Ovis aries: one gene and its partner. The protein of the gene in region 1 purifies or fractionates together with the protein of each later gene. This does not show direct contact. Links are inferred from orthologs where the notes say so. Each region holds a gene or a part of one and is shown in the gene's direction. Other genes may lie near its edges. The genes, in order: MPHOSPH10 and IMP4.

The links.
Region 2: the proteins of MPHOSPH10 (region 1) and IMP4 purify together in Homo sapiens (affinity purification with mass spectrometry; 3 studies listed by BioGRID and IntAct, with this or other methods). This does not show direct contact. The link is inferred for Ovis aries from reciprocal best matches to the Homo sapiens genes MPHOSPH10 and IMP4.

Annotation. Positions count from the first base shown.
Region 1 is NC_056071.1:25,153,696-25,157,508, forward strand, and holds part of MPHOSPH10 (U3 small nucleolar ribonucleoprotein protein MPP10), read left to right. Parts: coding exon 1-259; intron 260-820; coding exon 821-975; intron 976-1,439; coding exon 1,440-1,611; intron 1,612-3,813. UniProt on the Homo sapiens protein: Component of the 60-80S U3 small nucleolar ribonucleoprotein (U3 snoRNP). Required for the early cleavages during pre-18S ribosomal RNA processing. Part of the small subunit (SSU) processome, first precursor of the small eukaryotic ribosomal subunit.
Region 2 is NC_056055.1:114,189,076-114,193,412, forward strand, and holds the start of IMP4 (U3 small nucleolar ribonucleoprotein protein IMP4), read left to right. Parts: upstream 1-1,450; 5' UTR 1,451-1,499; coding exon 1,500-1,502; intron 1,503-1,647; coding exon 1,648-1,756; intron 1,757-3,557; coding exon 3,558-3,641; intron 3,642-4,337. Other genes in the region: CCDC115 (coiled-coil domain-containing protein 115), read right to left, coding at 266-348, 437-540, 620-730. UniProt on the Homo sapiens protein: Component of the 60-80S U3 small nucleolar ribonucleoprotein (U3 snoRNP). Required for the early cleavages during pre-18S ribosomal RNA processing. Part of the small subunit (SSU) processome, first precursor of the small eukaryotic ribosomal subunit.

The DNA of each region.
Region 1 (3,813 bases):
TGAGGACTCTGATCTTGATTTTGATATCAGCAAACTGGAACGTCAGAGCAAGGTGCAAAGCAGAGTGCCTAGGAAACCAACAGAAAAGTCCATAGTAGATGATAAATTCTTCAAGCTCTCTGAGATGGAGACCTTTTTAGAAAACATGGAAAAGGAAGAGGAACACAGAGATGACCAAGAGGAAGATGATATTGATTTTTTTGAAGATGTGGATTCCGATGAAGATGAAGGAGGACTGTTTGGAGGCCAGGATCTTAAGGTAAAGTTTGGGGAGAGGACAGAGTGTTCTTTCTGCTTCATCACATGAGATGGGGTTCTGTTTCTCCAGAAGAGGGTTAAAAGACTTCAAAATTCACCAGAGGATCAGTGAAATATTTAGATCAGTTTTTTTTTTTAAAAAAAGAAAGGGACTGGAGAAATTAAAGCAAAGCCATCATTTCCTTATCATGAAACACTCCTTTGTAGCTTCAGAATCACAGTCATCCATGTTACGGAGATTCAGAATTTTCCCTCAAACATGGATTTTCACCAAGCACTAAGAATAAGAATGAAAGAAGATATTTGTATACTTTATGTAGTCAGGGATGTTTTGGAATTACTTGTAGTTAGAAGATTTTGAGAGAAGATTGTGGTGCTCTGTCTTACCAGTTATAAATGAATCTGTGCTTCTGTTCAGTTTGCTGTGGTCTAATAGTTCTTAGGGTTTTGTAGTAGTGTTATTGTTGCCGACTTCCCCTATACAGTATGCATACACATTTATGCGTGATTTAATGTATTTTTCTATCCTTGATTAAAGGTTTTAAAAGTATTTTTGTTTTAGTCAGGTAAAAGTTCCAGAAACCTGAAATACAAAGATTTCTTTGATCCAGTTGAAAGTGATGAAGATGTAGCAAGTGTCCACGATGATGGGAGTGAACTGGCTTCAGATAAAGAGGAAGAGATTGCTGAAGAAGGAGAAGAAAGCATTTCTGAGACGTGAGTATTTTGAGTCCTTTACGCTGTAAGCTGGAGCTGCCCAGTCATCTGTGTACTACTAATCATCAGATGTGATTGTCCTTAGAAGTGGGATTCTCTAAGGTCAGACAGTCTCAGAATAGCCAGAGGAAGTCTCCAAATTTGAAGGGACGTCAGAGACGACCTAGTGCAAATCAGTGTGACTGGCAGTAGCAGGCAGACCTTCCTTACCAGGAGCTCTGATATGTTTTCTGTGCCAATAAAAATACCCTGTTGTTACTTAGGTGAGATAAGTCTGTATTATAGATTGATAAATAATTTGTTTTCTAGATATTGGATACTTTGTTCTATTTTACCTAAATACTGGAAGTTCTTAGTATTTAATTGCATTGTCTACAAAAGAAATTTAACTGCTAAGTTTGTTTCTTTTTGATATTCTAATGAAAACTGGTATGCTTCCTTTCATAAGTGTTTTGGTCTCATAGGGATGAAGATGATGACCTTGAAGAAAGTGGAGACAGTAAACAACATAAAGAAACCTCGAAAAGAGTGACCTTTGCTCTGCCCAATGATGAGGACACTGAAGATACAAATGTCTTAAATGTACAGAAAGACTATGATGAAGTCAAATCCTCTTTTGAAAAAAGACAAGAAAAGGTAATAATTAGCAAATTTAAGGGACTTTTAAATTATGTTTAACAGTGACTGTTGAACTCAGACTACCAACTAATCTGCCCTGGTTTTCTGTGTGTGTGGATGGCAGGGGGCTTGTTTTTTTTGATGGTACACCTAATTATCCTTTAAAAAAAAAATCTTGTTGCTCTCTGTGGCAGTGCTTCCACGTGGGAAGCAGCCAATTTACAAAATTCAGTGCTGCCTTTCCCCACCTGTCGCTTTCAGTATGGAGCCCATGTGTAAAACTTGTTTCTCTGGCCTTGCTGTCTTTATACCTGAGACAGGTTTTTTCCTAACTGGCTGTCCTATGAGCCTCTCCTGGTAACCGCTTCAATTGCTTGTATCGGAGAAGGCAATGGCAACCCACTCCAGTACTCTTGCCTGGAAAATCCCATGAATGGAGGAGCCTGGTAGGCTGCAGTCCATATGGTCGCACAGAGTCGGACATGACTGACAGGACTTAGCAGCAGCAGTGAGGTGCCGTGCAGCCAGAATTCTAATTAATAACATCTCAAACACATTTTCCAAAGTTGATAAAAATTATTTCCTTATGACATGCTGTCAGACAAACAAAATGTTGTTTGAAAATAATAGATATAGCCTGGCTCCAGACATTGTGCTTTATCATTTAACTGTCTTAAAATTATATCACACAGCTTGAAATGAGAATAAGTAAATAACCAAAGATATCAAGGATATCAAGAACATTATTTTAAAAAGAGAATCTGAGTTAAACCTATGATTATCAGATTGTTCCTGAAGAGAAAGTCTTTAAGGGGAAAAAAGTGAAAGAAAATGAGAAATTTGTCCTTGAATTAGTGACCTTCCCTTCTTACACTGCCACAAAAAAAATAAATAAAGTGGCTTTAGTTTACTGGGGAATTGTATCTGGCCTTCAAGAAGTGGATAATTTAGTACTGTTTGATCATTTCCCTCATATGAAGAGTGAAGCTTCCAAATTGTCTTCTTGTGAAACTATGATTACATGAATACCCAAACCTGACAGGTAACCTTGTAACACGCACAGTCTCATTTGTGAATAGTGATGTAGAAACGCAAAATAGTGCAATGAAAGAGTAACGTTACCACAGCTGTGTGGGCCTCATCCTCTTGATTCAGGATTAGGAAATCTATTAATGTAACTTAATACTTGTTACAGTGGGTTAAGGAGAAAAATCATGTAGTCACCTCCATATGTGTCAAAAAAAAAGACATTTAGTAAAATTCAATATTCATTCCTAATTTTTTTTTTTTTACTTTTAGTGAAATATAAGCGTATCTAGCCAAAATCTGCCATCCTGCTTACTGGTAGAATTCTAGGAACGTCCCTTTAAAATCAAGAGTTAGACTTATTTCCATTACCACTGTTACTATTTCCACTGTTACTTAAGATTCTTATAGAAGTGTTACTCAGCCAGGGCAACTATGAAAGAAAACACTAATAAGAGATGAGAAAACCGAAATGAAAGCTTTCATATTTGGAGAGAGAACTAGAAAAACCAAGCAGGTGAACTAGAAAGCTATTAGGAAAAATAATTTGGTATGGTTACTGAAAATGCTATCTTCTTGTACACAATTAAGTCATTATAGATGCCACCTCTTTAGACATTAGAGATAATTTGGATTGTGGGTGTGGATCAAGGGGGTAGTATATACGTGCTCAGTCGTGTGTGACTCTTTTGCCACCCCCTGGACTGCAGCCCGCCAGGCTCCTCTGTTCATGGCATTTCCCAGGCAAGAATGCTGGAGTGGGTTACCATTTCCTCCTCCAGGGGATCTTCTCAACCCAGAAACTGACAGGTGGATTCTTTACCACTGAGCCACCTGGAAAGCCTGGAATCAGAAGGTTCAGGCTCCATCAGATACTGATGCTTTGATAAAAAATTACTTAGTCTTGGAATGCCCTAATAATTAAGTTGATAGTGGCTTGTGAATAAATAAAATAGGTCAGTTTCACTAGAATAGAGCCCAGAAATACACCCAGATGCTTCTGGGAGAAGTGAGTAAATACTAAACATAACATTTCAAATGAGTGCGGAAAAGAGGTCATTTACAGCTCCTTATCCTACCTCCGGATAGGTGTAGAAGTCACTATTGCCATCCTTAAAAAATGCAAAGACAAAGCGGGATTTTTTTCAGAAACAATGCATTTCTTGCTCTCCCGCTAGTAAAAATATTAGTTGC
Region 2 (4,337 bases), on another chromosome or scaffold:
AACTAGCTAGACACAGAAATAAACATCTGTTCAGCTGAGACTTCCTCTGACTGCAAAACAGTTCTAACGGTAAAGGACTCACTCATAACTTTCTATTCCCCCTATAAATCTAAGGCAAAAAACCCGCTCTGCTGAGAGATTCAGATCTTCAGAACTGGGGCGCGCTCTATCGCAACAGCCTAAATAAAATCATCTCCTCAGACGTCCCATGCATTTTATCTTTTATATGGGAAGGGACCCGACGGGAAGAAGAGGGGGAGCTCACCTGCCTCGCGGGATCCCACTTCTTCTGGAGTCTGGGTGCCGGCTCTCACCATCCAGAACTTCTGGAGTCCGTCCTGAGCCTCGCTACAGAACGAGAAGGGAGATTGGACCTTTGGCGGCGCCGGCCCGGCCCTCTGTCCGCCCACCCGCTGCAGCATGCAAGGCTCCTCACCCGGTGCAGACGCGGACTTGGGGTTCCATGTGGGACGCATACTGCAGGGGCCCTACTGACTTGGCACCCATTGCATAGCGCGCTTTGGAGAGCGAGAGCCAGCCCTGGGAAGAGAGAAGAGAGAGGTGAAACAAGGTAACTTCCGTGCGCTGGCCAGTCCGCCCTCCCGCCCGAAGCTCCCACCTCCTCCACCCGGGCGTTTAGCGCTTGCCGCTTCGCCTCCAGTTGCTCCAGGTCTTCGAGGAGCTGCAGGAGAAGAAAGTCCAGCTCTGCCCGCAGATCCCGAGAAGCCATCTGCTACGCAGGGTCGAGAGCCGGCTCCTGACGGGTCGCCCAATCAGTGTCCGCCGGCCTAGCAGGACAGCCAATAGGCGTGCGAGGCCCGCCCTCTCTGGGGCTCCCAGTCTTGGGTGGATTGTGGCTGGCTGCTTTGCGCTTTTCAGGATCAGCGCGGCCTCAGAGCTGCGACCCTGGAAGTGATAACCTTCGTCAGGCAAGCATCCGAAGGGGACCAGCCACCCGGACAGTCGGCAAGAGCTGTGGGTATCTCCGAATCACTTCTGGAAGCGGCCGCGACTTAAACGTAGGGTTGTCGGAGTGGCGATGAAACCGAGGCGTCCATTTTAAAGGAGAGGCGGCTTTAATTTCAGAATGGGCGAGTAGGCGATCATCTGGTCAATCGCTGAACAGCTTTTACACCTGCTGGAGCCTACAGTTATGATTATTTTAGGGGTTCCTCACCTTCAAATCGAACATTCGCCTCCTCGCGGTAGGTAGTGAAGCCGGGCTGTCGCCTTTATTAACTGCCGGTCTAAGCGCGTGACAGCACCTTGCTGCCCTATCCTGCCTATTGGTTGCTTCAGTGAGCACGCCCTTCAGTCTGGCCAATCGACTCCCACCTGTTAGCCATTTTAACTTCGGGCATTGTAGGAATCAGCGGAATCCGATGAGGTCTGTACCGACTTTTGATTAAGGGCGGAAGTGAGGCCGGCGGAAGCGAGGACTGCGTTGCGCAAGCGGTATCCAAAGATTCTCCTGGACCCACGTGGAAGTTGCGCTCAGGATGGTAGGAGGGATGTTTTAAACTCCTGTTTTGGAGGTCGGGGGCTCGTGGAAGCTGGGGTTGTGGCCGGTGAGGTCGGGGCGTATGTTTCTGGAGCCTGCTTTGCTTGGCGAAAACGGGTCGTCTGAATGGGCCCGCTCTTCCCCAGCTGCGCCGCGAGGCCCGCCTTCGCCGCGAGTACCTGTACCGCAAGGCACGAGAGGAGGCTGAGCGAACGGCCCAGGAGAGGAAAGACAAGGTTCGGCGCGCGCTTGAGGGTACGTGTGTCCCCCGCTCTCCGATCTTTTCTAGAGACCGTAGTTTTAAAACCCAACAAGAAACAGGCCCCAATGCTGTAAAACGCGTTTAATTAGCGTTTACTTTGTTAGGGTGGTGAGTATCCTTTCACGTATTTACTGGCCATTTTCCTAACTGTTCGATCTTCCTCATGGTTTGCAAATGTTCCTTTCAAGATGGTATGAATTACTTGTCATTTATGTTACAGTATCCAGATTTTACAGCTTGCTTATTAATTTTATTTACAGTGTCTTTATTGTTGTTTAGTCGCTAAGTTGCAGTGTCTAGGCCTTTCCAGATTTAAACATTTCACGTGGTCCTATACCTATTTCCCCTGCATCGTTTCTGTTCTTGCTACCTGTTTTCACTACAAGGTAATATCTGATTGTCTTTTACTACTGTTACAAGTCCCTTGTATTTGAAAACTGTTAATTCGTGTAGAACTTGATTTTATTTGCGTTGTAAATTAGGAATTTAACTTTGCGATATTTTGCCCACTTTCCATTTGCCCTGCTGTTAAAGCAGTCTGTCACACATGCCTGATTGGAAATGCTTTATTTATATGTATCTTGTTGGTTCTTGTGTTGGTGGAGCTCTGTTTCCTGATAGTACATCAACTCAATACCTCTGTTTTAAATTCACTTTGATTGTCTTAGGTTTTAGACATGTAAAGTATTGTGGTATGTATATGTATATTTATGTCAAGCATAATGTAAAACAGAGCTTCTCAGTGCTAGTGGTAAAAGAATCTACCCTGCTGATGCAAAGGTGTGGGTTCAAACCCAGAGTGGGAAATGGCAACTCACTCCAGTATCCTTGCCTGGAAAATTCCAGGGACAGAGGAACCTGGCAGACTGCTGCCCATGGATCCCCTTGGGACTGAGCTCCTGCTGTAATGACCTATCTACTCATGTTAAAAAATGAAACTGATAAATATATTGAAGTTCAGAAATATTTTCGCCGACCTAGAGAACCACAGTATTGAATATTGATTAAAAATAAGCCATTTCCTTCCTCTTCTTTTTTGCCTGTATCATGCTTGTTTGTAATACTAAATCACATTGGTTGATTTTAGGTAGTATTAGGTTTTGTGTATTCTTTTGCCACGTTATGTTTTTGTTTGGCATTGTTACTAAGATACATTGAGTGTAGGTGAGGCTCCTGCAGGTGAATATTCCACAGGGTCTTCATCCAATTCACTGTTGGGGGTGGACAGCTTATTTTTAGTTTGGGTCAGCCCTGCTGCTGTGAACACTGTCTTCAGTGTGCAAGAGTTTGTCCAGGGTATGTTAGAAGTTCTGGGTTCAAAGGACATGCTCCAAAGTGGGCATGGCCACACAGCCCAGCCGTTCTGCCAAATCTAGCCTTAGTTCACAGAGGGAACCTCTGACCCAGAGCATCACAATTAATGATTTTAATGTCAGAGGATTTGAGGGTTTCTGATCCACCTTAATACAGAATGAGTAGTTTCCATTTATTTTTTTAACGTTGTTAATTTTTTTCTGACTACAAAGGGAATGCATACTTGTGGGTACATAGTTTAGAAACCTCTCAAGTCTTGACACTCAGGACCCATAGTAAATGAAATCATCTATAAACACTCTTAACAAGGTGGCATATAGCCAAAAATAATTGTTTCATTACCACCTCCACCTCTAATTACATATCAGCTCTCTGCTCAGAAACGAGTAAAGGGGTGTTTTTCCATCAAGTCTGTACAGTGTTGTAAAAACTGAAGGTTCTATGCATGTCTTTCTCAACCTCTCTGTTTTCCCCCTGCAGAGAACCGCCTGATTCCCACCGAGTTACGCAAGGAAGCTCTGGCCTTACAGGGGTCTCTGGAGTTTGAGGATGCCGGCGGTGAAGGTGACCTTCCCTGACTCTATGGGCCAGCTTCTCTTCCTGCAGTTGAGTCCACTAACTTCTGTGTCATTCCTGAGACACCTTGAAGAAAGGCTGTGAAGCTCCTGATCCTGAAACGGTCTTCCAGGCACCCTCATGGCTGTGCACAGATGACACCTCAGGGGACCTCTCACTGAGTGCTCCCAGTTCTGTTTACATGGCACAGTATTACCCCACTTTGTACTTCGTTTTGTCTGTTAATTGGCCCTCTCACTAGGAATGTAGGTTCTGCTGGGACAGAACAGTGTCGTTATTTTCATTTGTGTCCCCAGCTACCAGTACTTCATTGGTATCCAGATGTTTGATTCATTGCATTATTCAACAAATATGAAAGGAATCACAGCATAAATATTTGTTGTGAGGTAAAGGAGTCTGTTACTCTGGGCCTTAACAGAATCTGGACTTGTGCTAACATGGTAGCTACTTGTTCCATGTGATTACCAGAGCTTAAATGAACTAGAATCAAATATAAAGATTCAGTTCCTCGATCACACTTGTGCTTGTAGCCAGTTTGGCCAGGGGCCACCCTGTTGCCCAGAGCAGGTACAGAGCATTTCCATTCTTGCTGGTATTGTCAAGACAGTGTTGTTCTAGGTGGATTTGGCCGCTGGGCATTAGCATTTCGCTTCCCTCGGCAATATCGTGTTCTCGTGCCTCACG